3 linked regions of the Struthio camelus genome follow. The protein of the gene in region 1 binds, or shares a complex with, the protein of each later gene. Links are inferred from orthologs where the notes say so. Each region holds a gene or a part of one and is shown in the gene's direction. Other genes may lie near its edges.

Evidence for each region.
Region 2: THOC2 (region 1) and CHTOP share a complex: the UniProt entries of both Homo sapiens proteins name them as parts of the transcription/export (TREX) complex. The link is inferred for Struthio camelus from reciprocal best matches to the Homo sapiens genes THOC2 and CHTOP.
Region 3: THOC2 (region 1) and THOC7 share a complex: the UniProt entries of both Homo sapiens proteins name them as parts of the transcription/export (TREX) complex. The link is inferred for Struthio camelus from reciprocal best matches to the Homo sapiens genes THOC2 and THOC7.

Annotation. Positions count from the first base shown.
Region 1 is NC_090952.1:11,068,909-11,076,732, forward strand, and holds the start of THOC2 (THO complex subunit 2), read left to right. Parts: upstream 1-4,786; 5' UTR 4,787-4,816; coding exon 4,817-5,013; intron 5,014-7,824. UniProt on the Homo sapiens protein: Component of the THO subcomplex of the TREX complex which is thought to couple mRNA transcription, processing and nuclear export, and which specifically associates with spliced mRNA and not with unspliced pre-mRNA.
Region 2 is NC_090971.1:4,711,045-4,718,571, reverse strand, and holds the start of CHTOP (chromatin target of PRMT1 protein), read left to right. Parts: upstream 1-4,475; 5' UTR 4,476-4,666; intron 4,667-5,923; 5' UTR 5,924-5,940; coding exon 5,941-6,005; intron 6,006-7,500; coding exon 7,501-7,527. Other genes in the region: protein S100-A14-like, read right to left, coding at 1-31; S100A1 (protein S100-A1), read left to right, coding at 3,194-3,334, 3,428-3,571. UniProt on the Homo sapiens protein: Plays an important role in the ligand-dependent activation of estrogen receptor target genes. May play a role in the silencing of fetal globin genes.
Region 3 is NC_090955.1:12,526,790-12,534,662, reverse strand, and holds the start of THOC7 (THO complex subunit 7 homolog), read left to right. Parts: upstream 1-4,821; 5' UTR 4,822-4,991; coding exon 4,992-5,010; intron 5,011-5,654; coding exon 5,655-5,772; intron 5,773-6,537; coding exon 6,538-6,665; intron 6,666-6,994; coding exon 6,995-7,081; intron 7,082-7,873. UniProt on the Homo sapiens protein: Component of the THO subcomplex of the TREX complex which is thought to couple mRNA transcription, processing and nuclear export, and which specifically associates with spliced mRNA and not with unspliced pre-mRNA.

The DNA of each region.
Region 1 (7,824 bases):
CAGTAATAAAAACTAAGCTACAAAAATCTCTCAACCCTGTAAACATAATGCCCACCTAAAATATATTTTAGCCAAGCGTTGGAAAGCTTCTCTGAGGTCCCTTATAAAGATCTATATCTGTTTATTGTCTCATATCTATCTTACACTGGAAAAATACAACAGCATCAGTAAAATTAATGGAAACAATGGAAAACAGACTGAGTCCGGAATAAATATCTCTCTAAAACACAAGTATATTTGGAGTCATACTTTTATACATGCTCTCCATTCCTTTTTGGATGATGTAGTTCTAAAGGTGAAATTGGAAATATGTAGTCCTCCATTTGATAATCATTTCCGGAAAAAGATTTCACTTCCTGTGGACTTACAAGGAAAGTGTTTAATAATACACTACCTATAATTATTTAATAGTCCAAATTCCTTTTATTAACAACCCGAAAAGAATAATTTGGAATTGAGAATTACAATGTGTTGAAAAGTATAAATAATTTTGAGCTACAAATCAATACTATTACATACAAAATGAAACGTAATGCATAAGGACTTGACTTTGCAAACCTTTATATAAGGGAAAAACTTAACTCATGTCTAGTCTGTGCAAGTCTCAGCAGGTAAAATTACTCATCAGCATAAATTTTCACAAGAATAAGCTCTAAATGGATTGTAAATAACTGACAAAGTATTTACCACACAAAAGAACTCCCATATATCAGCACTCATAGCTAATATGTTTCCTTTACTGTAAAAGTTGTACCACTCATCACAATTTAATTATATCATTTAGTTAGTATAAATAAAATATACAGACAATATAGTAAATACAGCAATGCTGATTTGGTAAAATTGTTTGATAATCATTTATTGTAATTTAATCTCAGGTCTAATTATTCCATAAGTATTTAAGTATTAATGAACCATTTAATTAATAGCCCAATTCTTACAATAATGACACACTTTCACTGAATCACTGTTGAATGGTTGATGTAAAACACTCTTCTAGCTTTTCTAAAATTCGTTTCAGTGACATTCTCATTGTGAAGCTCTAGAAGCCATGAAACCACATAAAACTCTCATCCTAAAACTACGAAGCTATATCACACTTTAATTATACTTTAACTGTATATAGTCTAAGATTCAGCACTCCAAATATATTTGTAGGTTTAAAGATGTAGGCAGGTGCCTGCTAGGTAAACGTATCTAAATGGGGTAATTGTAACAGACCCATTGAAACCCATGGGAGCCAGGCATCTAACCTACTTTTGTAAAATCTTTTTATGGGCCCAGTTGCATCTTTAATATCTTTGAAAGTCTGCCCTCATATTATTAACTATCATGATCACTAGTTAAACTGTAAACAGTATACAATGCCACTCATTAATTAGGGCTACATGGCAACCTACTACTGTAGGAGGCCCAGACCCACAGGCCAAAGCTACAAAAATCCACAGACTTTAAGCTAGTAAAAATGTAAGTAAATTGGCACTGTATGAAGTAAACATTTAAATATACGTGTGTGTGTGTGTGTGTGTGTGTGTGAGAGAGAGAGAGAGAGAGAGAGAGAGAGAGAGAACACAATGTTCTTTAAAAATAAGTTAATTAGCTCTGGCCAAGAGAGAAGACAGACTATTTCTAGAGAAATTGCTGTCAATGATGGTAGAGAGAGCTAAGTATTTGCAGAAGCAGTCAGTATTTTGCAAGACTATGCAACATTGAACAGTTAAGTAATCTCTATATCTGGATCATTTGTATACCTAACTGAAAACCTAATTCAATTGTGTGAGCACATATTTGGGTTCACAATATTTTAATTTGTTTCTGTTAGCTTTCTCCTTGTCAAATTACAAACTCCAACTAAAAGAAAAGCTGGAGTTTTGCAATGTATAGTTGTGAAACTGTTGCTGCAGTGTTTTCATTATCATATGAAGACAAACATCCCAGTGTTATAATGAAAATAAACATGAAGTTGCTATATTGACCTGAAATGACTTTTCGCATACATATAATAAGGTAATCTTGATATTAAAGTGATTATCTTCCAGCAAGAAACATATCAGCAAGTGTAAGTACATGCTTTTCACAGATTTTATAGAATATTAGTTATTACTGTAATATACTCAATTATATTTTCAAATTGTTTCTGTCGCATGAATATTTATATTGCATGTAATGGCTACCTTCATATTCAGCTTGTTCCAGTGTTAGCATTATACTTCACAAAATAAGTAGTTTAGTTTCCTTGAATAAACTTGGGATTTAACCTTTCTGTTGCTGCAGTGACTAGACTGCTTTATTCTTCTGTATTTCCTCACTAACCTCCTTTCATCCTCATCATGAAATTAAAACTTCACATTTGCAAATGTGCAGCTCAAATTCAACGTGCAGCTGTTCTTCAGTTTTATCACGTTCATGAAATGATTTATATCCCAATAGAACCATGTACAAGACTGAGAAGGCAGACAAAATAAAGACTTTACAACTGACAGGTAAGAGGAATTTATGGAAGACTAACCATGTGTGCTGCCTGAGCAAATTAAATATTTCTTAACTCACATATCCCAATTAACAATCAAAATAAATTAAGAACGGCTTTGAGAAACTTGCAGAGAAGAATAACACACAGTGAGACGGGCACATGTATTGGGGATGATCATCAGAGGAGAACATCCATACAGCTGTTTACATTTTTACATCTGTAATTAAGAGGACACACCAAGTGAAAAAAGATCAAGTTTCAAACATAGTACAATATATCACTGATATTTTGAATTCCATTGAAGGCCATAACAGAATAAATACAAAATACTTCTGTGGAAAGCGGTGGCAGAGTGCAAAACACTTAAATAGTACATTTCACTTCTTAAATGGTATGTTGTTGCTACTGTAAATAATGACCTCACTAGCTCAAACCACATGATTAAAATATATGCTTAAATTGATGCCCTATAATCAATTAGGGAAGTGTGTACTTGCAGGTTTGGGGTTCACTGTTGTATCTTATTTCATACAAAAATTACCTTAGAAAGATGTTACGTTAGTGTGACTGTGGTAGGAATGCCAGAGGAAGGGTAATATACACTAAGAAGCAGTTTCGATTTTTCACAATCATTTTCACATAACACTTAAAAAAATTATTAAAATAATTTACCATATTTACTAACTTAATGAATTTAGTCAATAACATAATCTATTAAAATAATTTGCCCTGACTTGTCAGGGAGTAATGAAAATTATTTTAGTCTTCACAATATTATCCAAATTGTTATTGAAAATTTGTTTTGATCATTTATTGGTAGAAATGTTGTGCCAAAAGAGGAAGAAAATCTGCTTTTTATTTTGGAAGAAAAACCCTCTTCATCTTGCAGCATGGTTCACAAAGGATGTGGGGAGAGCTCATCAACATGGACAAGGGTCTCTGAATTTTGAGTGATTATAGGATTATAATGTTTTGAAGCTCCACATATTTACAACAACTGAAGACATGTGCACACTCACACAGACACACTGATTCCACGAAGACTTTCCAAATACACTGAATTTTAAAAGCAAGCAAAATACCCTGAAATACTAGTTGAGTGGCACATAACCTTCAGGTGCACTAGGCTCTGAAAAGTCATACCTAAATTTTAAGTCTATTTTCCTTAAATCCTTTCCTTTAAATGCTTTCCTTTACTTTTGTGCATCAGCTCTCAGAGGGTCAGTTAGTCTAACTCCCCTTTTTTCACTTGTGCAACACACCTACACAAAGCTATGCGCTGCTCACATAATGTTTCGCTTTGAGTCCCTGTGAATTAGAGGAAGAAGTTTCTTACGAGGAAGGCCACATCCCAGAAGTGGTGATATGTTTTCAATCTAGCTTTACTGGAGGAGCGGATCAATAGACATAAGCGTATAACCTACTTGTACTCCGTGTTAGTTACTGTCACTCTCATGTACTGTCTCCTTCCTTCTGGAAAGCACTGACACCAACCCACAGGTTGTGCACAACTAAAGGGTCAGGAATGTTTTCTGGGCGGTGAACAGAGATGCAAAGCAAAGTGGGAGCAGTTAGTAGCTTTATTCCTGTTCTAGAATCTAAATTTTTTTTTGAAGAAAAATTCTTACTGCTTGCAAATAACGCATCTGGAATCTGAATTCCGAGGCTAAGATTTGAAAAGTAAAAGAACTGTTACAACTGTTCTTCAATGAGCTTGGAATACAGATTACATACCGTGTCACATTTGCATAAAACACGTTTAACATGCTCAAACGATCTCACTTGGTGTGTTTCCCGCCTCGGCCGGTTAAAAAAAAATACTCGAATTCGCACTATTGTTACAGATGTGTGGACCGAGAGCCGCACAGTGAGGTCATAACCCAGTCGGAGGGCTGACTGTTTGCTGCGCAGCCCGTTATAAATTTAAATTACCTGAGGAGGTTCCTCGAACACGCGCAGGTTTTAACCTGCGCGTTGGGTGCGGGGCAGCCGGGAGTCGGTTACCGCCGCGCAGAGGCGAGGCGAGGCGAGGCGAGGCGGGCGCGCGCGGGAGAGCGTCACTCTCCCGACGGGCGGGCGGGCGCTGGGGCCGGTGTGTGGCGTGTGCTTGGGGCCACTCGCTCGGCATCAAGGCAGCGCGGCACCGCCCGCAGACAGTTCCTGGGTGGAGCTAAAGCTGGGCGGTAGCGGGTCGGCCTGCGGCTCGGAGCGCTGCTAGCGGCTCGGCTTTAGAAGGGAGCGAGGAGGGTACACCGGGGACGCCGCCGCCGCGGTATTTAGGGGGCGGTGGCGGCGGCGGCGGTTGAGGCGGCGGCCGCGCGGGGGGAGGGGGAGGGGCGGGCCATGGAACGGCGCGCGCCGTCTCCCAGGGTGCCGCGGGCCCGCGTCCCGTCATGCCTCGCGGGCCGCTCCGTCCCCTCTGACCCGAGCCCGTCGCTCCCCCATCCGGGCTCTCGGCGCCACACGGGGAAGATGGCGACGGCGGCGGCGCTCCCTGCCGAGTGGATAAAGAACTGGGAGAAAGCGGGCAAGAGCGAGTTGTGAGTGCGGGGTCTCGACGGAGGAGGGCGGGAGGGAGGCCGGCGCGGGAGGCTGGGTGAGGGGGTGAGGAGGTGGGAGCGGGCGGGGAGGACGCAACTCGCTGTGCCCTCGTCGTCGGGCCGTAGAGGCGAAACCCTGGTCGGGCGGTGGGCCCAGACCGCCTTTCCGTCCACCTCGGCCGCTTTTGTCGCTCCCTAACGATCTCCGCCGAAACTCGGCCCCGTCGCTGCCAGCTAGGCCTAGTTCTTCTGGCTGCCGTTGCCCGGGCCCGAGCGCCCCCTTCCTGCCTCTGGGTCGGGTTTATCGGGTGTCGGGTGCCTTCTGCTCAGCCGGGCCCGTGGAGGTAAGATGGAGCCTGATGTTTCCTTGCCTCGCTGGCTTCTCAAAGTTGACCTTTTCGGTCGAGGTCTCGACCCCTGTCCCTGCTTTCTCCTCTCCGAGGTGTTTAGCGCTGTCTGCTTTGATCCGGGCTAGGTAGGATCAGCTAGTCCTCCCCACTTATCCTGCAGGGCAATGTTTGTGCTCTAAAGGGTCTCCTCTTAGCTTCCCAAATCCATCCAGGTGTGGTAGGGACTTTACCGTTCAGGGTCTTGAATATTTCTGTCTTGAGCAATTTCTAAGCTAGCAGGCGGACTGAATGTGCTATGTGTTATGTTTCGGGAGGTTATCTACCAGTTTCTCAAATTTAAATTAATGTGTTAGCTTGGATGTGGGTGCCCAGTTTCCTATCTATATATTTGAAAAAAATTTCTCATATTAATTTTCCATTCGCTTGTGCTTTTTATTGTAACAAAAAGTTTGAAATAAAGATATTTGGGAATCATTTTATGAGTAAGACTTTTTAATAGTCTTTCCTTTATTATTTCTTTTTGTTCCTATATATTAAAAGATTGTGCAGCTGTGGTAATCTCTGTGCATGGAAGAAAAGAAAAGGTAGTGAGGTACAGAATAGGAAACATAGAGGCTCCCTACTGAAAAAAAAAAAAAGTTCTACCTCCATTTTTATAGTGAAAAGTCCCCCCCCCCCCCCCTGCTTTTTTTGGCCATGTTGTTATTGTCCTTGAACGGTCCTAAAGCAATAATCGTGTTAGCACATCAGGTTACATGTTTTGGTATATATTATGAATAATAAAAGGCCAAGGAAGAGGTGTACTGTAACTACATTTATGACAATGATAAAGTATTCAGGAGCCCACAAACAAAGATGAGGCTCACATTGCTTTTTTTAATCTCCTTCTGCTTAAGATTATATGGCAATAGCTGAATTTGTATCCAACTGAGCAATGTTTGTGATAAGCACTGAGGCCTTTTTAATGAACTTACTTTAGAAACTTCTATATGAATAACAAAGACTAAAATGTACAAATATATACTAATTGATACCTTTTGAAAATGCACAAGTGGCAATAATAAAATATAAAATATTGTCTTTTTACATAAAATGTTGCTATTTTTTTTTCCTGTTGTGATACTTAAACCATTTTTGCCCAAAGAAGTCATATATGCTTACAACTTTTGTAACTTGCATGATTACTGAGTTTGTATGAAACTTGCACGTGGAGAGAAGTTTCACAATTGACCGTGTAATGGTTGCTGCGTTTTTTGAGTTCTCAGAACTTTGCTGTGGGAAGAAGGGCAAGTTAGCTTAATTTTTGATCATGATAAAGCCTTTTATGATTCTCCTCTCCCCCTAAGGCAGTATTTCTTAAATGTGACTGGGAGGAAAATATTCTAGTTTGCTGTGGGGCCAATAAAACAAAATGATAGGTTAAGTTCCTATGTATGTGGCGTTTCCAGTTGATTTGCTTTCCAAAAGGAAGAGTGCTATTTTTTAAATATTCGTAACAATTAAAGAAGGAACAAAAGCAGTATTTCATGTTTTTCTTTGAATTATCTACGAATCTCCCCAAAATATAAATCGGGTATTCTGCAAAAGGCATGGTGGGGAGGAGAAGGCCATAAATGGACAAAACGGAGAGTTGTAGCAAATACGGGCTTTGCAAAAAAACTTGGAATTTCATTTTCTATATGGAGGCCTGCTCTAATAAAGCCAATGCACAAAGTCATCCATTCCCTCTTGTATGGATATCTGTTTTTAAAACTGGTAGGCTTAGTCACCGAGAGTCAAATACCAAACTTCACTGAAAGTCAAAGATTGCAGAAGAAAACTTATTGTAAGTAGAAAGAAAAGATTAGGTTATATGGGAAAATACCTATTTACTGGTATATAAAATGACTTATGGGATCTGATCAGATCAGCCCAAGATTGTATTTTGAGAGTTAGTAGTTACCTAAATAAAACCTAATTTTATGTATTAGGGAACGTGAAGATTGCTGTATTGAGAGAAGTAAATGGTAGTGTCTTTATCTAACACTTCAACTTCCGCTGTGGTTAATAATGAGTGCTTAAGATGATCTATGTTTTCTTACGTGATCTTGTGTAGTAGGGTGATGATCAGCCTATGTCCTAAAGCATGTAGGATTTGTAATGTTGCTGTAATCTGTAGGAGTTGCAATTCTTTAAGAGAAAAAACTGCTTGTTTATCAAACAAAACAACACACAGTGAAGTTTTAAATCCAGTAATGAAGTCACTTTTAAAATAACGATTTATCTATTTTTTTGAAGTATTATGAAAAATACCAACTTGAGTTTTGCTCATGTGATCATTATGTCAGCATAAGACCTTATTGTCCAAAAACTGGAGGATAAGGGTTTTTTTTCGCATATCCTTAGCGTCGTTATGTGGGTTAGTAAGGCAGCGTAATTAGAACCTAAGCAGTAGTGACTATAGACTTCATAGAAACTTCTT
Region 2 (7,527 bases), on another chromosome or scaffold:
TGCGCTTCTTGCGGCAGTTGCACTGGCCCATGGTGCTGCTGGCCGGTGGGGAGCTGCTCGGCGGCGGGTGCCTTCTCCGACGGATCCGCGGGGTCCTGGGCGCCGGCGGAGGGGAGAAAACCAGCCTGAGCGCTCGGCCCCCGGCGGGAGTTTTCGGGGAGGGATGCGGCGAGCTGCCGGGACGCGTCCCGGAGCCGGGACAGGTCCCGGCCAGGAGCGAGGCGGCGGGGGCGCCGGGAGCGGGCGACCCCACCCCGGGGGGCCGGCGGGAGCCCGGCGCGGGGCGGCGGGGTGGGGGGGCCGCTTACCTGCTCGGCGGGCCGGCCGGGCTGTGCGGGGGCCGCGTCGCGCCGCCGCCGTTTTATACGGCGGGGAGGTGCGAGCGGGAGCCGCCGGGGCGCGTTTCGGAGCCTGGCCCGGGGCCAGCGTGGGGCCGGGAAACGCCTCCCGCCTGGCCGCGGCCGCTGCTGCCCGCCGAGCCCGGCGCGGCGCGTGGGAACGGCGGGCGGTTCGGCGGGCGCCGGGGCCGGGGAGCGCAGCTCAGCCGGGGCGATTCCCGCGGCGGCCGGCGGGACGCCCGAGCCCCCCGCCGGCCGACGAAGCCGTGCCCGGGCGCCGGGGAGGCCCGGTGATGTGACCCCCCCCCACTTCGTCGCTCCTGCCCGCTGGCGCGTCTCGGTGGCCGCCGGGGCCCTCTGCCCTGGCCCCGGTGCAGGGCGGCTTCGTGACACCCCTCCCGCCCCGGGTGCAGTGAGTCTGCAAGGCCTCAGCCCAGCTCCTGCCGGCTCCGCGGGGCTGAGCAGGATGCTAGCCGGGGCTGGGGGGGGGGGGGGGGGGGCTACGCAGACCCTCAGGACCGAACGCTTCGGTGAGGGGCTCCGCCGGCCCGCCCCGCGCCGGAGCCATCCGGGGGTGGCGGGAAGGGGCCGGGGGGTCCCGCCGGGACAGGGGTCCCTACTTACCCCGCTCGCGGCCCCCGGCGAGGCTTTACGGGGCAGAGCGCGGCGCTTTGTCCCCGGCCCGCGGTGTAGGGTTTCCCGTGGCGTTTCCCGCGGCGTTTCCCGCGGCGGCCGGACGCGCGGCCGGACGCACGGCCGTCCCCCGGTCTCCTCCCTCCCCGCCCGGGCTGGGGTCGGGGCCGGGGTCGGGGCCGCGGCGGGGCGACCAGCCGAAGGCCAGCATGTTTTTCGTGGGGGTGTGAAACCACACGTGCGCCGAGCGCAGCCCGGGCTCAGCGCCGACGCGGAGCGGGCCGCGGCGGGGGGGCGAAGGCAGCGCCGCGGCCCGGGGCACCCCGAGACCCGGACGGGCTCGACCCGCAGTGAGTGAGAGTGGTGACTCAGCTGCCCACTGACATCATCCCTATTAATAGTGGTCTTTGTAGAAATTAATTAATCCCAATTAATTAGGGGGTGGGAATTGCCCCAGCGTTTAATCATGGTGTATTTTTAACGCGGTCGGCCTGGCCGGTTTCCACCTGGCGCAGGAGCCGGAGCAGGTGCCCGCTGCGGCGGGGCCGTTCCCGCGGGGGCCAGCGGGAGGGGGCCGGGAGGGGGCCGGGGTGCGCCGGGGCGGCATCGGTCGGGAAAGCCGGGCGGGCTGCCAGGTTGGCTGGGGTTTCCCAGGGGAGCCGGTTTTCCCACGGGGCGTTTTGGGGATCCGACCCTGGGCATCACCGGGCCGGTGCCGCTGAGCCCTGACGCGCTCACTCCACCCGCGCGCGCGCTTGCGGCGTGGCGGTCCGCGGCCCCAGCTCACGGGGCAGGAATTGGTTTCGTGCAGCCCCGTGGGGCCGGGCCGGAGCGGGACTTCCGCCGAGCCCCGCGCCAGGGGCCGGGGATGGGCGGCGGGAAGCGCCGGGGTGAGTCGGGACGGGTTGGGCTGAGTCACCGGCCCCAGGAATTTGGGGCCAGCCCTGGAATTTGGGGGGCCGAGCGGGAGCAGGTGCCGGGAGGAGCGCCGCGGCGGAGCGGAGCATCCCGGGGCCGGCGCGGAGCATCCCGGGGGCCGTTCCCCCCGAGCCCGCCGCGCGCCGATCCGTCGGGAAAGGGCTGCCGGCTCCCCGCGAGCCTCGTCCGCCCGCCAGCCGTGGGCCGGGGCGGCGAGATGGGGCCCAGCCCCGGCACCAGCAACCGGAGCGACCGGTTGGAGCAGGGGAGTCGGAAGCTGGAAGCGGTTGGGAGGGGTGCGCCAGCCCGCCGGCCCGGCTCCCGGTTTGGGAAGAGGGCGCCCGGCCGCGCGGGGTCCGGGCCGCGTTGCACAACGGCGGGGACGGGACGGGGGGGCCGGAGGGCAGCGCGCGCCCGGTGGAAACGGGAGGCGAGCCGGAGAGGAGAGCAGGATATAATTAGCTCCCAACGAGGACTGGAATCTGGGATAAAGATTCCCCGGCACCACCCGGCTCTTGCGAAAAGCCCAGGGCCCCGGCACGGGCAGCGCCGCCCGGCACCCTGGGGTGCCCCGGGGCTCGGGTGCCCCCCCCCGGGGCCGTTCCCGCGCCGGGGCGCGGGAAAGGCCGCGGCGGGGACGGTCCCCGGCGCGCCACCCGGCCGCCGGCCCGTAACGAGAGCCGGGATTATCGGCCTCGCTGATGCCAGCCGGGAATCCGGTTTCTCGGCCGCAGCAGCCTTCCCCGCCGGGAGAGTCGGGCTTTTGTTCTTTTTTTTGCATCGAACAAGAGGCCTTTCTGCGCCCGGGGGGGGGCCGGGCGGCCCCGAGGGGCCGGGGCTGCGTCACCCGATAGCCACCGCCGGGCCCCCCACCCGGCTCCGAGGACACCGGATACCCCGCGGGGCCGGGGCGGCCCGGCTGCCGGGGCCGAGGGCCGAGGGGGGCCGACGGACGGGGGCTCTGGCCCCCAGCGCCCACCCGGGAGCCGACCCCCGTGGCTCCCCCCGTCCGGCAGCCGGCACCTCGCTCCCGCCAGCGCCCGGCTCGTCCCGTTTGGGGCACGGGGTGCAAGCAGGGTGGGAGGGAAGGGGGGGGGATGCCGGGCCGGGAACGCCCCCTCGGCGGGGCGCGAACGCCGCCGGGGCCGGAGCGGGCGCCCCGCGCGCCGGCTGGCCCCCGCGCCAGCTCCGTGCCGGCGGTGCCAGGCCGGCCGGCCAGCCGCGGTGTCGGATCCTCCCGGAGGGAGGGGGCTTGGAGCTTATTTAACGGGCCCGGGCGGCCGCGGCCGGGCGCATTCGGAGCCATGGCGTCGCAGCTGGAGGGGGCCATGGAGACGCTCATCAACGTCTTCCACCACTACTCGGGCAAGGAGGGCGACAAGTACAAGCTGAGCAAGAGGGAGCTGAAGGAGCTGCTGCAGAGCGAGCTGGGCTGCTTCCTGGAGGTAGGGGCCGGCGCGGGCACCGGGGGCCACCCGGGCGCGGGCCCGGGGGGGCTGCCGAGCCCCGGCGCTCGCCCTCTGCCCCTTCCTCCGCAGACGCAGAAGGACGCGGGCGCCGTGGAGAAGATCATGCAGGACCTGGACGAGAACGGCGACGGCGAGGTGGATTTCCAGGAGTACGTGGTGCTGGTGGCCGCCCTCACCGTGGCCTGCAACACCTTCTTCTGGGAGAACGCCTGAGCCGGGCCGGCCCCCCTCCCCGAAACGCGGAGCCCCCCGCCCCCCCCTCGCCCCCCGGGGCATCCCGCCGGCATCCGGCTCCGCAATAAAGGCAGCGACCCAGCCGGCGGCGTGCTGTCACCTCCTTGGTCGCCGTGGATGGCGGGCACCGGGGTGGGGGGGCGCGGGGATGCGGGGCGGGACCGGCCGGCCGTCGCGGCGGAGGCGAGCGGCGCTGCGCCCCACGGGGCTCGAGGAACCGGTTCCCGCCTCCTCCCGGCGGGCCCCACGCAGGGCCGGCAGCGCCATCGCCTGCCGGGCTTGGCGGCTCCGGCGGGAGCGCTCCCCGAACGCCCCCTCCGGCACGGCCCGGGCCTCCCGCTCCGGCCCCTGGGGTCTCGGCGGGGCCGGCGCGCGGCGCCCCGCTGCACCCAGCAGAAAGCAAGGGGCAGCGGCGGCGCTGGCCGGCCGGAGCTGTGTCCTGCTCGTGGGCGACCCGAGGGTGCGCACAGACATCCCTGAGGGACCCCCTCTGCCCGACGGCGGGGTCTGTTCCCCCCCCAGGGGCGGAGGAGGCAGGGGCGCGGGCCGGGACACCCGCCCCACACGTGCTGCGGGCGCGGGGGGCTGTGGAAGCGGCATCCAGCCTCGACGGAGCGGGCGGCGGCCGCGCAGCACCGCGCAGCACCGCGCACCGCCGCCGCCGCCCGCGCCCCCCCGCCCCGCCGTCGAGGCCCCGCCCCGCCCCGTCGAGGCCCCGCCCCTCCCCGTCCACGCCCCGCCCCGGAGGCCTCGCCCCGCCGTCGGGGCCACGCCCCCTCCCCTAGGCCACGCCCCCATGCGCCTCCGGACCCCCGCTCGGCCGGCAGGGGGCGTGGTCACGCGCGGCGCTTGGCGCCTGCGCCCTGCCCGCCCTGCCCGCCCGCCGCCGCCATTTTGCCCGGCTCGGCGCGGCTGCTGGGGGAGGGAGGGAAGGTGCCGCGGTCGTTGCCGCCATTTTGTCGCTGGCTCTCGAGCGCGGCGGGAGCGGGCGGAGGGGATCGGAGCTGAGCCCCGCACCCCACCCGTCAGCTGTCCGGCCAGCCCCCACCGGAGACCTGGCGACCGTCTGCTTCGGTGAGAGCCGCCGGGCCTGGCCGGGGGCGGGGGGCGCTGAGGGGAGGCGCGGGGTGGCCTCAGGCGGTGGGGGCCCGCCGCCTGCGGGGTCAGTGCGGTGCTTTGCCCTGGGCTCGGCCCCGGCGGCCTCGCGAGGCGCCTCGGGCGGGGCTGGGCCGGGCCGGCGGGGCCAGGCCTCGCCCTGCTCCCCGGGCCCGGCGCTCGGTGGGTTCCTGTCAGCGCCGTTCCCCGCCAGCTGCTCTGTGCAGTTTGCGTGGGCAGGGGGAAAAAGGCTGTTTTGAAACCACCTTTCCCCCCCTCCCCGGTGTGGGGGAAGTGCTGCAGCGGATTATTAGCTCCGTTTCTAGCTGAGCGGGCTGTAGAACATCGTAAAAATCTTATTTGTTGCTAGTAGCTTGAGGATAAGTGCTTTTGCCAGTCACCTAAGCGCTAGATACGTTATTAATCATAAAAATGAGGCACTGATCCGAACGGTTAGCGGGCTGAGCTGTGTTCCTTAGCGTTTCAAGTTGTAGTCATCACTGCTCTCAGGCCTGAGCTGTGATCCAAAGATAATAACAGCTGGGTTTAAATCCCTTTAGCTGCTCTCATGAGCAATGTGATGAGGTTTCATATTAGAGAGCCGCATTGTGAGTGCTGGTGAGCTGCCTGTTAGAGTATCACATACTCGAAAGCTGAAGTAACTGCGCAAACATATATAGGTTACCCCTGTGCAGCCCAGCTGTGGCAATCCTAGGGTAGTAAGAGGGAATGTGACCTTAATATTTTGAAAGTATGTAGGTCTTCTGTAGGAAAAAGCAGTCTTTGAATAAGCTTTGGGGTGTGTGGGTTTTTTTTTTTTGGTATTACCGAGTGTGTGGTATGCCTCTCTAAGATGGAAACCCCATTTTCTGTTTTATTGATACTAACTGCTTAGAAGCTGTAGAAGTGTCACTAGGTGCAGTACCAAACAAGATGTTTGGGTGCCGTCCTGGCTGCTGATGGACTATGTTTCTGCAGCATTACTCCTACCAATGGCAAATCTTCCCTTTCTGAAAAGAAGACTATTTAGTAAGGGATGAGCCAGCATAACTTGCTAGCTTAATAAATTTACTGCATCATGACAATGGCCTAGGAAACTTGAGATAGAGTGTTTTTTGCCAAGTTCTTGGCTCTCTCCACAAAAGGATCTGGAATGGAATGCAGGTTTCTGAATGTTTAACCACGTAAACGCGAGTTCTCCTGCTGTTTTTTAAATCAGGCTCTCATGTTTTGCAGATTCTCTTGATCTGAAGATGGCTGCACAGTCAGCACCGAAGGTTGTGCTAAAGAGCACCACCAAGATGTCTCTGAACGAGCGGTGAGGAAGCCAACAGCAGCTTCAGCTCATAAGAAATTTTTTACTTAATTATCACTGTCTGGTTTCCAAAAACCAACGTGGTTTCTGCCCTGTTTTAACCTCGCTATAACAAGCAGATGGCTATGCACCTCTGTCTTAAACTGCAACAAATGTGGTACACAAGGTTAAAAGGGCAATTATTCTGGAGAAATTTATCCGTAGCAGTTAAAATTAAACTATTCAACACATAAGTATGGTGGGATGTGTTATGACAAAAAAGAGAAACCTCGCACCCTCCCTTTTTCTTCCACATGTTTTTACATTTATATAGTTGACACTGCAGCATGGTAGCATGTTACCTAAGCTGCAGTAGGCTTGCTGCTTTGTCCAAGGCAGACACACGTGCATGTGGTCTGGCCTGTAAGAGGCAGGCAGCAGGCCATTAAACAAGCCCAAAGGCCCTTTAACAACGTTTTGGGCCTTGTAAGAGGCAAATGCTTTGCTCCATCTCCATCTCTCTCTTTTCTTGGTGCTGAGTTCTTTATTTCTTCTGCTGAATATCCTCCTGCTTTTCCATGCCATTACGCTTTTGTGGTTCTGCAGTGACAACTAACAGCAATGCTTCAGTTATGTTTCACCTTCTCGCTAATCGCTCTTGGATTAACCACGTTAATAGCATTAGGCCAGGGAGAAATGAACCATTTGTATGCAGTTCCTGTTCCAGCAAGTGCTGCAGCGAGACTTAGTCTGAACCAGTGCTTGGCTTGCCTCCTGGAGAAGAGGAATAGTGAGGTGCAGTGAATGCTTGCTGGCCTGTTGCTGTTTGGTCAGTCCATACTACTCATTCTGTAGTGCTTTATTTTGCTGTCCTGGTAACTCCTAGGACACAGTAGAAAGCTGATGGGTTGCTGCTAAGGAAGCTTACCATCTTGTTGTATGTTCTAGGCCATATAGCTCTTAAAGGCAGAAGGTTCCTCATGCGTCAAGGAAAGTGCTAGATAAACCGTTTTCTATAAATGACTACACTCAGATGGTGGTGTTTCTTGTGGCACCGTTTCTGTGGTGTGCTGGAGGCATACCAGTCTGTTCTCAGGGCAAAGTCTTTTATAAAGCTGTCTTCTGGGGTTGAGTCTTTAGAGAATTTTCTCAACTCCGTGAGGTTATTTTGGCTTTTGCAGTCAGATTTCAGTTGGCTTTTCTACTTCTGTGCAATGTCCTCTTCCATCTGTCATGGTCATCTCTGCTTATTGCTTGTTTTCATTCCTTCTTCCATTTCTAAAATCGGTAAACTAAACCTTTACCACTTCTGAATTAATACACAACATCATTTCTAAGTTTCCAGTTCTTGCACATTTGTGGAAAACAAGGAATACGTAACTCACATATGACGTGACCTAAGTACCACTCTTTACATAAGGTTCATGGGATCTGGAGATCCAATCTTGAGAACCATGAAATGCCAATAAATGTGTGTAATAAAGCTTTATTTAAACACCCATTTTATTCGACCTTGAAGCTTTACTAACATGCTGAAGAACAAACA
Region 3 (7,873 bases), on another chromosome or scaffold:
TGGGGAATCTCCTGTGTATCACACAGGCAGCTGAAGTCTATGGCGTTAACAACTTTTAGATAAAACAAAAAATCTAACCCTCTGATGTATCTTGTAGCAGTCTCATGACTCTGACTTTCGGGAAACGTTTGTTAAAACACGTTGACTTTCTTAACAAGTAGGGACCTACTAAGTTATGGATAACAGGTATCACCAACTGGTGTACCATTTCTAACTTTTGATTCTTCTGCTATCTCAATTAAAGCATCTTTTGATACGTGTGCAAGGGGCGCTTTCATCAGCTGAGGGCACCCCTTCAGCTGCAAGCCCAGGTCGCTGCACTGAATAGCTCAACTTCCAGCACCATATAATTTCAACTTTAGCTTGACAAGCTTTAATGAAGTAGCAACGGCTCACCTTAAAACGCATAATAAATTGATCTTATGGTACGTTGCAGGCTGTTATATAATTCCCGTGAAGATATCAGAAAAAGGGCAATATCCAAATGCCATCAGTATAATCTAGATTAATCAAGAGACAGGGCCCTTACTTAAGAAAAAGTGATTTAAAAAGATTACAGCACTATTTTTTCAAAAAATTGCTAAGATAAGCTTTTGTCTCCCTGAATATGCCTTCACGAAAAAAGAAGTAGTAGTAGTAATGAAATATCTTTCTTACAAAAACTGAAACAAACCAGAACACTTCCAGGACTTCAATTCTGCAAAGTGTTTCAGTCAAAAAAATATGGTATTTGACAGGCGTCTTTCAGTAACCGCTTGAAAAATAAGACATAAAAAACAATCCTGTAGCCCACAACTTGTGATTACATCATTACCTGATAAAAGACTGGTTTTTAAAGTACAGTATTAGAATACATGTAATCAGTCTTGGTAACACAGGCAGTAGATAGCAAAAATGATTACTGTTTGGATAATAAAGTGTGGGGTTTTTAAAAATTATTATTATTATCACTACAATCACAGCAAGTATTTTCACCCTGCCTTCTCTTGTCACGTTCTAATTCCATGGAAATGTGCTAGCTCTGCAGAAACACAAGGGTGCATGGTAGGAAAGCTTTTTACAAGACTAAGAACCATGCTGTATGTTAAAAAAACCAACCGACCAACCTACTACTTTTTCCCCCAATCACTGAATTGAAACATTTCAGTTATATCTGCCCAAAGTAAGCCCTTTAAAACGTGCAGAACTACATAGCCCATGCCTAAGAACTAGCTGACAAGCTCTTGAAACACTGACGCTAGTTTCTAGTAAATACCGAGGCTAAAGAGGCTACGCGCTCTAACGTTATTTAAAATGAGGAAACACTGATTGCTTAGTGTGACATCAACGTTGGGCAAAATCAGGGAATACATTCAACAAAGAAATAAAAGATGATGATAAAAAGTAATGCTTAACATAGGTTTACAGAAAATAGGTCTCACTAAATAAATTTGGTATGGTTTTCTGACAAGAATATAGGTTAGACTGGATAAAAATATCTTGTAATGTGTGACCTACTATAGCTAGATCTCTGTAAGATTTAGTGCCACACAACAGTTTGATTTAGAAGTTATTCAACACGAAGAAAACCTGGAATCTAAAACCACCTCATAAATTATTAGTGTGGCTTAGGAAAAATATTTTAAATCCACCTCATCAATAGTTAAGGTTGTTTCCTTAGCTCTAAAAATCATAGCATATTATAGCTTTTAAAATTATAAAAAGCTTCTTCCCCTTTCACTTTTTCTGCAATTGGGGAAAAAAAAAGATTATATCTATATAGTTAAAGAAAAGGGGAGGAGGTATAAAGTCAAATTAACTTAAAAAAATTCACTGTTTTTTTCATAAAAGAAAATTTCAACATTAACACATCCCATTAAAAATATCTGGACACTTAAAAGCCATTTTCCAGTAAAAAAAGGATACAGATGAAAAATCTGAACCAGTTGCACACACGTGTAACACCTTGCAGTAAGTACTAAACTTACCCAGCCCATACGTCTTGTAACCAGAGTCACCTGGGAACATTACAGGGCATCATTTCACACTTTTGACAAGGACAGGTGTGCAATAAATTATTATGTATAAGCTGTTTCCAGATTTTACCATATGGCATCCACAAGGGAATTTAAAGCAAGAGGGAGAACTACCTCATGTTTAACTTGGTTGAAAGCCTGCACACACAGGTACTTATTCCAAAAGAGCTGGTGAAGAGAAAGGTGCTCTGCCCTGTGTAAGAACATTTTTTCCTATTGCATGAATCTCAGTTGACTTTTGAATACTGATTCCTGAAGGATGGCCCAATATTACTTAGTATCTTTGCCAGTTAACTGAAGTTTATATAACAGACTGTAGCTCACAGAATCTGCCCTGCCTTAAAAAGGGAAAACAATGGATTTGTTCTCTAAATTGCTGTTATGAGCCTAAGACCCAGACACAGAAAGCATGTTCTTGAATTAGTAAGAATTTTGTAATCAGTGACACATAAGAAGATGAGAATGGCATAAAAGTCATTAAAGATGATTAACTAATCATATGGACTGCTGTGTTCTGAATTAATTACTCAAGAAATATCTATTTGTCATTGTGGAGAGTTTCATAAGGGTATCTGACCGACACTAGAATGAGGAACAAAAAAAATCAAGAAAGGTTATGTTGGATTAAATGACAGATCGTAACATAAAAGTATTAGAATGCGATGATATAAATAATCGTGGATTTTCAGTTCTGATCAGCTCACCTCCAAAGTGGAAATGGAAAGAGCTAAAAGAAGGGCAACAAAAATATTAAGTCTAGGTCAGACAGTGATGCTTCAAGACGCTGAAGATAGTAGTTCAGAGAGGTAATCAATGGGTAAAAAGGGAAAGGCAGCAGCAAACCACACTGTATAAAATACATGCAGAGAAGTTCAGTTAGACATTCTTCTTCTCCTCTGCCAGAACGCTAGGGCTATATCATAGTGATCGATGCCTCAGAAAAAGCAAAGATTTTTGTCAAAACAAGTATATTAAAAGGCAAGAAATTCAGAATTCAGAAGAAAGACATTTTTATGACACGTACATAGCTCATGAACTCGGGGCTTTAGAGTATTATTGGGCCCAAACTTTGTTTAATCAAGTGAAGAGTTAGATCATCACATAAACTAGGTCACTCACAAATCACATAATAATATACGGAAATTTCAAGACCAGAAGTTACCTCTCCAGATTTTCTATACTGGAAATTCTTCACTCTCTAAACTTCAGGGGGTGTAATGCTTTCTCAGTAGCACCTTGCAGAGACCCTGACAGTTGTCACTACTGAAGACAAAGTACTGGCTTCAAACAACCTAGCAGTATGTAAATACCTGTTAAATGCCACTATCCAGAACAAAAAGAACCTTGTGATGGCTCACAGCCTTAAACCAGCAAACTACAGATTATAGCGTGCACAGACTTTGTCCTTTTCCTACACTGATTTTCCAAACATCCCTAAAACTGTCAAAACAAAGCACTGACCGAGACAGGAAAATAAATGTTTGGAGCAGAACAAGTCAATAAACTACTTAGCGTCCAAGCCAAAACGAAGGGGGAGTACCACGGTGTGCAGACGTCTCACGTATCATGACTATAGTATGACATATGTTACAGTAATGTTGCCAACTTCAGCACTGCCTAGGTGTCAAAGCCTGCGGTTCAAAAAGCTAAAACTCAACACTTGATACCAATAACACCTTAGTATCTCTTTTCTCCAGACACCCCTATCCCTTTTTTCCAGTGCCAGTTTTGGTTAATTTTTCAGGGAAGGAAGAAATAACTCTTACTACTATGGGCTGTTAATAGCCTAACTCCCCAATAAGGCAATTAGGACGGTCGTTTTTGCCAGGGCCTAGCCTCTGTGGCCGCAGCGTGGGACAGCCACCGCGGCACGGGGCCAGCACTGAGCCGCAGCCCCCACATGCTGCCTCCGCTCTGCTGGAAGCACCAGGCTGCTGCCAGCTGTTGCTGTCCCCATCCCTGCTGTCCCCTTCCCCAACGCCACCCTGGAGAGGCCGAGGCCGGGCACAGCCACCGTCCCTGTCTCCAGGGCCACCCTCGAGAGGCCAAGGCTGGGCATACCCACCGTCCCCCTGCCCAGTGACGCCCTCAACGGTCCAAGGCCGGGCACGGCGGCTGTCCCCCTCCCCAGTGACGCCCTCAACGGTCCAAGGCCGGGCACGACGGCTGCCCCCCTCCCCAGTGACGCCCTCAACGGTCCAAGGCCGGGCACGACGGCTGCCCCCCTCCCCAGCGCCGCCCTCGAGGGGCCGAGGCCGGGCACGGCGGCTGCCCCCCTCCCCAGTGACGCCCTCAACGGTCCAAGGCCGGGCACGACGGCTGCCCCCGTCCCCAGCGCCGCCCTCGAGGGGCCGAGGCCGGGCACGGCGGCTGCCCCCCTCCCCAGTGACGCCCTCAACGGTCCAAGGCCGGGCACGACGGCTGCCCCCCTGCCCAGCGCCGCCCTCGAGGGGCCGAGGCCGGGCGGGAGCCGCCAGCCCGGGGGAGCGGCGGCAGCAGCAGAGCAGCAGGGCCGGGGGCCGACGGGGCGGCGAGGCCGGGCGAGGCGAGGGTGGCCGCCGCCGGGGCCGCCTCGAGGGCGAGGGCGAGCATGTGCCGCGGGCATGGCGGGCCGGGCCGGGCGGGGGGCGGCGGCGGCGGCGGGGCCGGGGGCGCGGTGGCGGGGAGGAGGAGCCTGGCTGCGAGCGCGGGGACCTCCGCTGCCCTCCCCCGTCGGCCCCTCACCTGGCGGGGCCGCCCCTCGCCAGGGGGCCGGTTCCGCGCGGGGCGCGAGCCTCGCCCGCCGGCCCTCCCCGCCGCCGCCGCCGCCGCCTCCGCCGCCGCCGCCGGGCCGCGCGTCCGCCGCCAGCCGGCTCAGGCCCCAGCCGCCGCCGCCGCCGCCTCCCCCTCCATGGCCGCCGCTCTCGCCGGCTGCATTGTGGGAAGCTGACCTCACTCGCTGCTGCCGCCGCCCCGCCGGCTCCGCCGCTCGCCGCCATGGGGGCCGTGACCGACGGTGAGACCTCCCTCCCTCCCGCCCGCCCGCTGCCCGCCGTCCCCCGGCCCGCTCCCCGCGCCGCCTCGGCCGGGGCCGGGCCCGCCGCGCCGCGCCGCTCCCCAGGCGCGGGAGCCGCTCTGCCGGCACCGGCCACCATCCCCGGGCCCGCGGCCCTCGTTCTCTCGCCGCCCCCCGGCCCTCTCGCCGCTCCCGGCCCCTCACGCCGCCCCCCGGCCCCTCACGGTGGCCTCGGGCCCTCTCGCCGCTCCCGGCCCCTCACGACGGCCTCGGGCCCTCCATCCTGGCGCCCCTCACGCCGCCCCCCGGCCCCTCACGGCGGCCCCGGCCCCTCTCGCCGCTCCCGGCCCCTCACGGCGGCCTCGGGCCCTCCATCGTGGCGCCCCTCACGCCGCCCCCCGGCCCCTCTCGCCGCTCCCGGCCCCTCACGGCGGCCTCGGGCCCTCCGCGCTCGCCCACCCGCGGCGTTGTCCCGCCATGTGCCCCCGCTCCGTCCCCCCCCCCCGCTCAAAAACACCCGCTTTGTAAATGAAAAGCGCCCGGACGGCCCTGGTTCAGCGGCAGGAGGCAGGCCCGGCCCCGGCTGCCGGGACCCCGCCGCCCTCCCGCCCGGCGGTTAAAAACGGCCCCTTTTCCCGCCCCAGACGAAGTGATCCGTAAGCGGCTCCTCATCGACGGCGATGGCGCGGGTGATGACAGGCGGATCAACCTCCTGGTGAAGAGTTTCATTAAATGGTGCAACTCCGGATCCCAGGAGGAAGGGTATTTCTGTTTTCAGTCTTGGGAAATAACAGCGTACATTTAAATGGAAATTGGAATAAACTTGGGGTTTTGGGGGGGTGTGTGGAGGGGGGAGTCGCTTCTGTTAAGATGTGCACCCGTGCGTGTCAGTGTGGCTCTGCGGTGCTCCCAGCACAAACAGCGAGCATCAGGGCAGGAGACGGCTCAGAAATGACTGAGCGCCAGTGCTGCTTCGTGATCCGGGCCCAAGAGTCCCGGTGCTGTAACAGGATCATGACTTGAATGTTTTAGCTGGCAGTTCTGCGTTTGTCCTGTTAGGTAAGGACAATAACGTTAGTCTTCTGCTGCATTTTTTTCTTTTTAAAACAGGTCAGAGTTGTAAAAGTTGACCAACAGTGTAGTATTGTATTGTGAGGTCTCTGCTACTGTTGGATATAAATTCCAGGAAGTCGCCGTATATACAGAGGAGTGCTACAGTATTAAAATACTAATCTCGGTGAGCGCAGAGCCTGCCCCAGTTGGGAAGTTTATAATCCCTGGATCAATCTGCCCATAGCTTTAATACTCACTTTGCACCTTTAAGGGCATGGTGATAGAACTAGTTGGTGCAGTGTTTCTAACTGCACTTTCAAAAATTATACATTGAGTCTTTGGAATTTTATTTGTTTAATAATTGCTGTTATTTAACTGTTGCTTAAATTACTCATGCAGGCTTTGGCTTCTTGCTTTATAAAGGTAGGTGACTGTTTTATGCTGCTTAGGAATAACTATCTTGTCTGCTTTCAGTTACAGCCAGTACCAACGAATGCTGAGTACTTTATCACAGTGTGAATTTTCAATGGGAAAAACTCTTCTCGTGTATGATATGAACCTGCGAGAAATGGAGAATTATGAAAAAATCTACAAAGATATAGGTAACAGATATTACTGTTTTCTGTTGGACTATTTCTCTAGTGTGAGGAAGCTTGAGCCAGTGCTGGTGAAACTAATATATGAATATGATGAAAGATTTATTTTTTTTAAGATAACACTGATACAAAAGCTCTAAGCATCTTGTCAGTATCTAAAATACATGCAAGTAAAGTTTTTTTTAAACCCATTGAAGTATGTGTAATTTTGAAGCTGATGGAGCTAAGAAGCCACCATGTCACAAATGGCTCTTTGCCTTTTTGTAGTGCAGCAGATTGGTTTGTTGACATGTATTGTTTGATTTCAGTATAATTCTGTATTCTTTTTATTAAAGAAAATAGTATAGCTGCAGCACACGAGAAGATTTCTGAATGCAAAAAGCAAATCCTGCAAGCAAAAAGGATTCGAAAAAATCGCCAGGGTAAGGAGCAATATCTGTATTTTCACTGAGCAGTTTGCTTATTTTGTTACCTTTTAAAATATATTGTATTAGAAAATAGTTTCCAAATCTCTGAGTGTACAAGGGAAAATGCTGGTTTTGTGAATATTATATTTGTTCTGGTGGGTTTCACATGCACTCTGTGAATTCCCTTATCCAGTAATAGAACAGTGTGTATGTATATTGCCATCATTTCACTTTGGAAACTTATGCTTTTGGAGAATTCTTCTTCATACACTTACTTCAGAAACTCTACTTTCAGGGTGAAAATGTGGTCACTCCCCCCACCCTTTCTTCAGAAAACCTTACATTAAAACTCAAATGATTTAATACCTAATTGTTACTGTAAGGCACATAATGCTCAATTATACTATCTTCATTCAAAACTGCTGAAGTAAAGTTAAACTACTGAAAGTTTTTGGTTGATGAGGCAGACAAGATTGAACCAATAGATCTCAGTGAGGTGCAGCAACAGGAAAACCTAAACAGTAGTTCAAGAAGATGTTTTCAGGCCAAGGAAAAATCCAGCAAGGCTCATATGACAATTGAGGTGACTTTAGTACTAAAGCACACTATAACAGCAAGACAAAAGAATTAAACAGGCTTACTCCTAGCGCTGAGAATCGCGTGAGTACGTTCCTCCAGCTTTTAATAGAAAATATGCGGCCTACACATGTACAAAGATGGCCATGCCAGTCACACACCCATCAAAACCATAAGTATCCTTATAAAATACCTCTAAACCAGTTACGAGAGATATTTTTAAGAGATGGG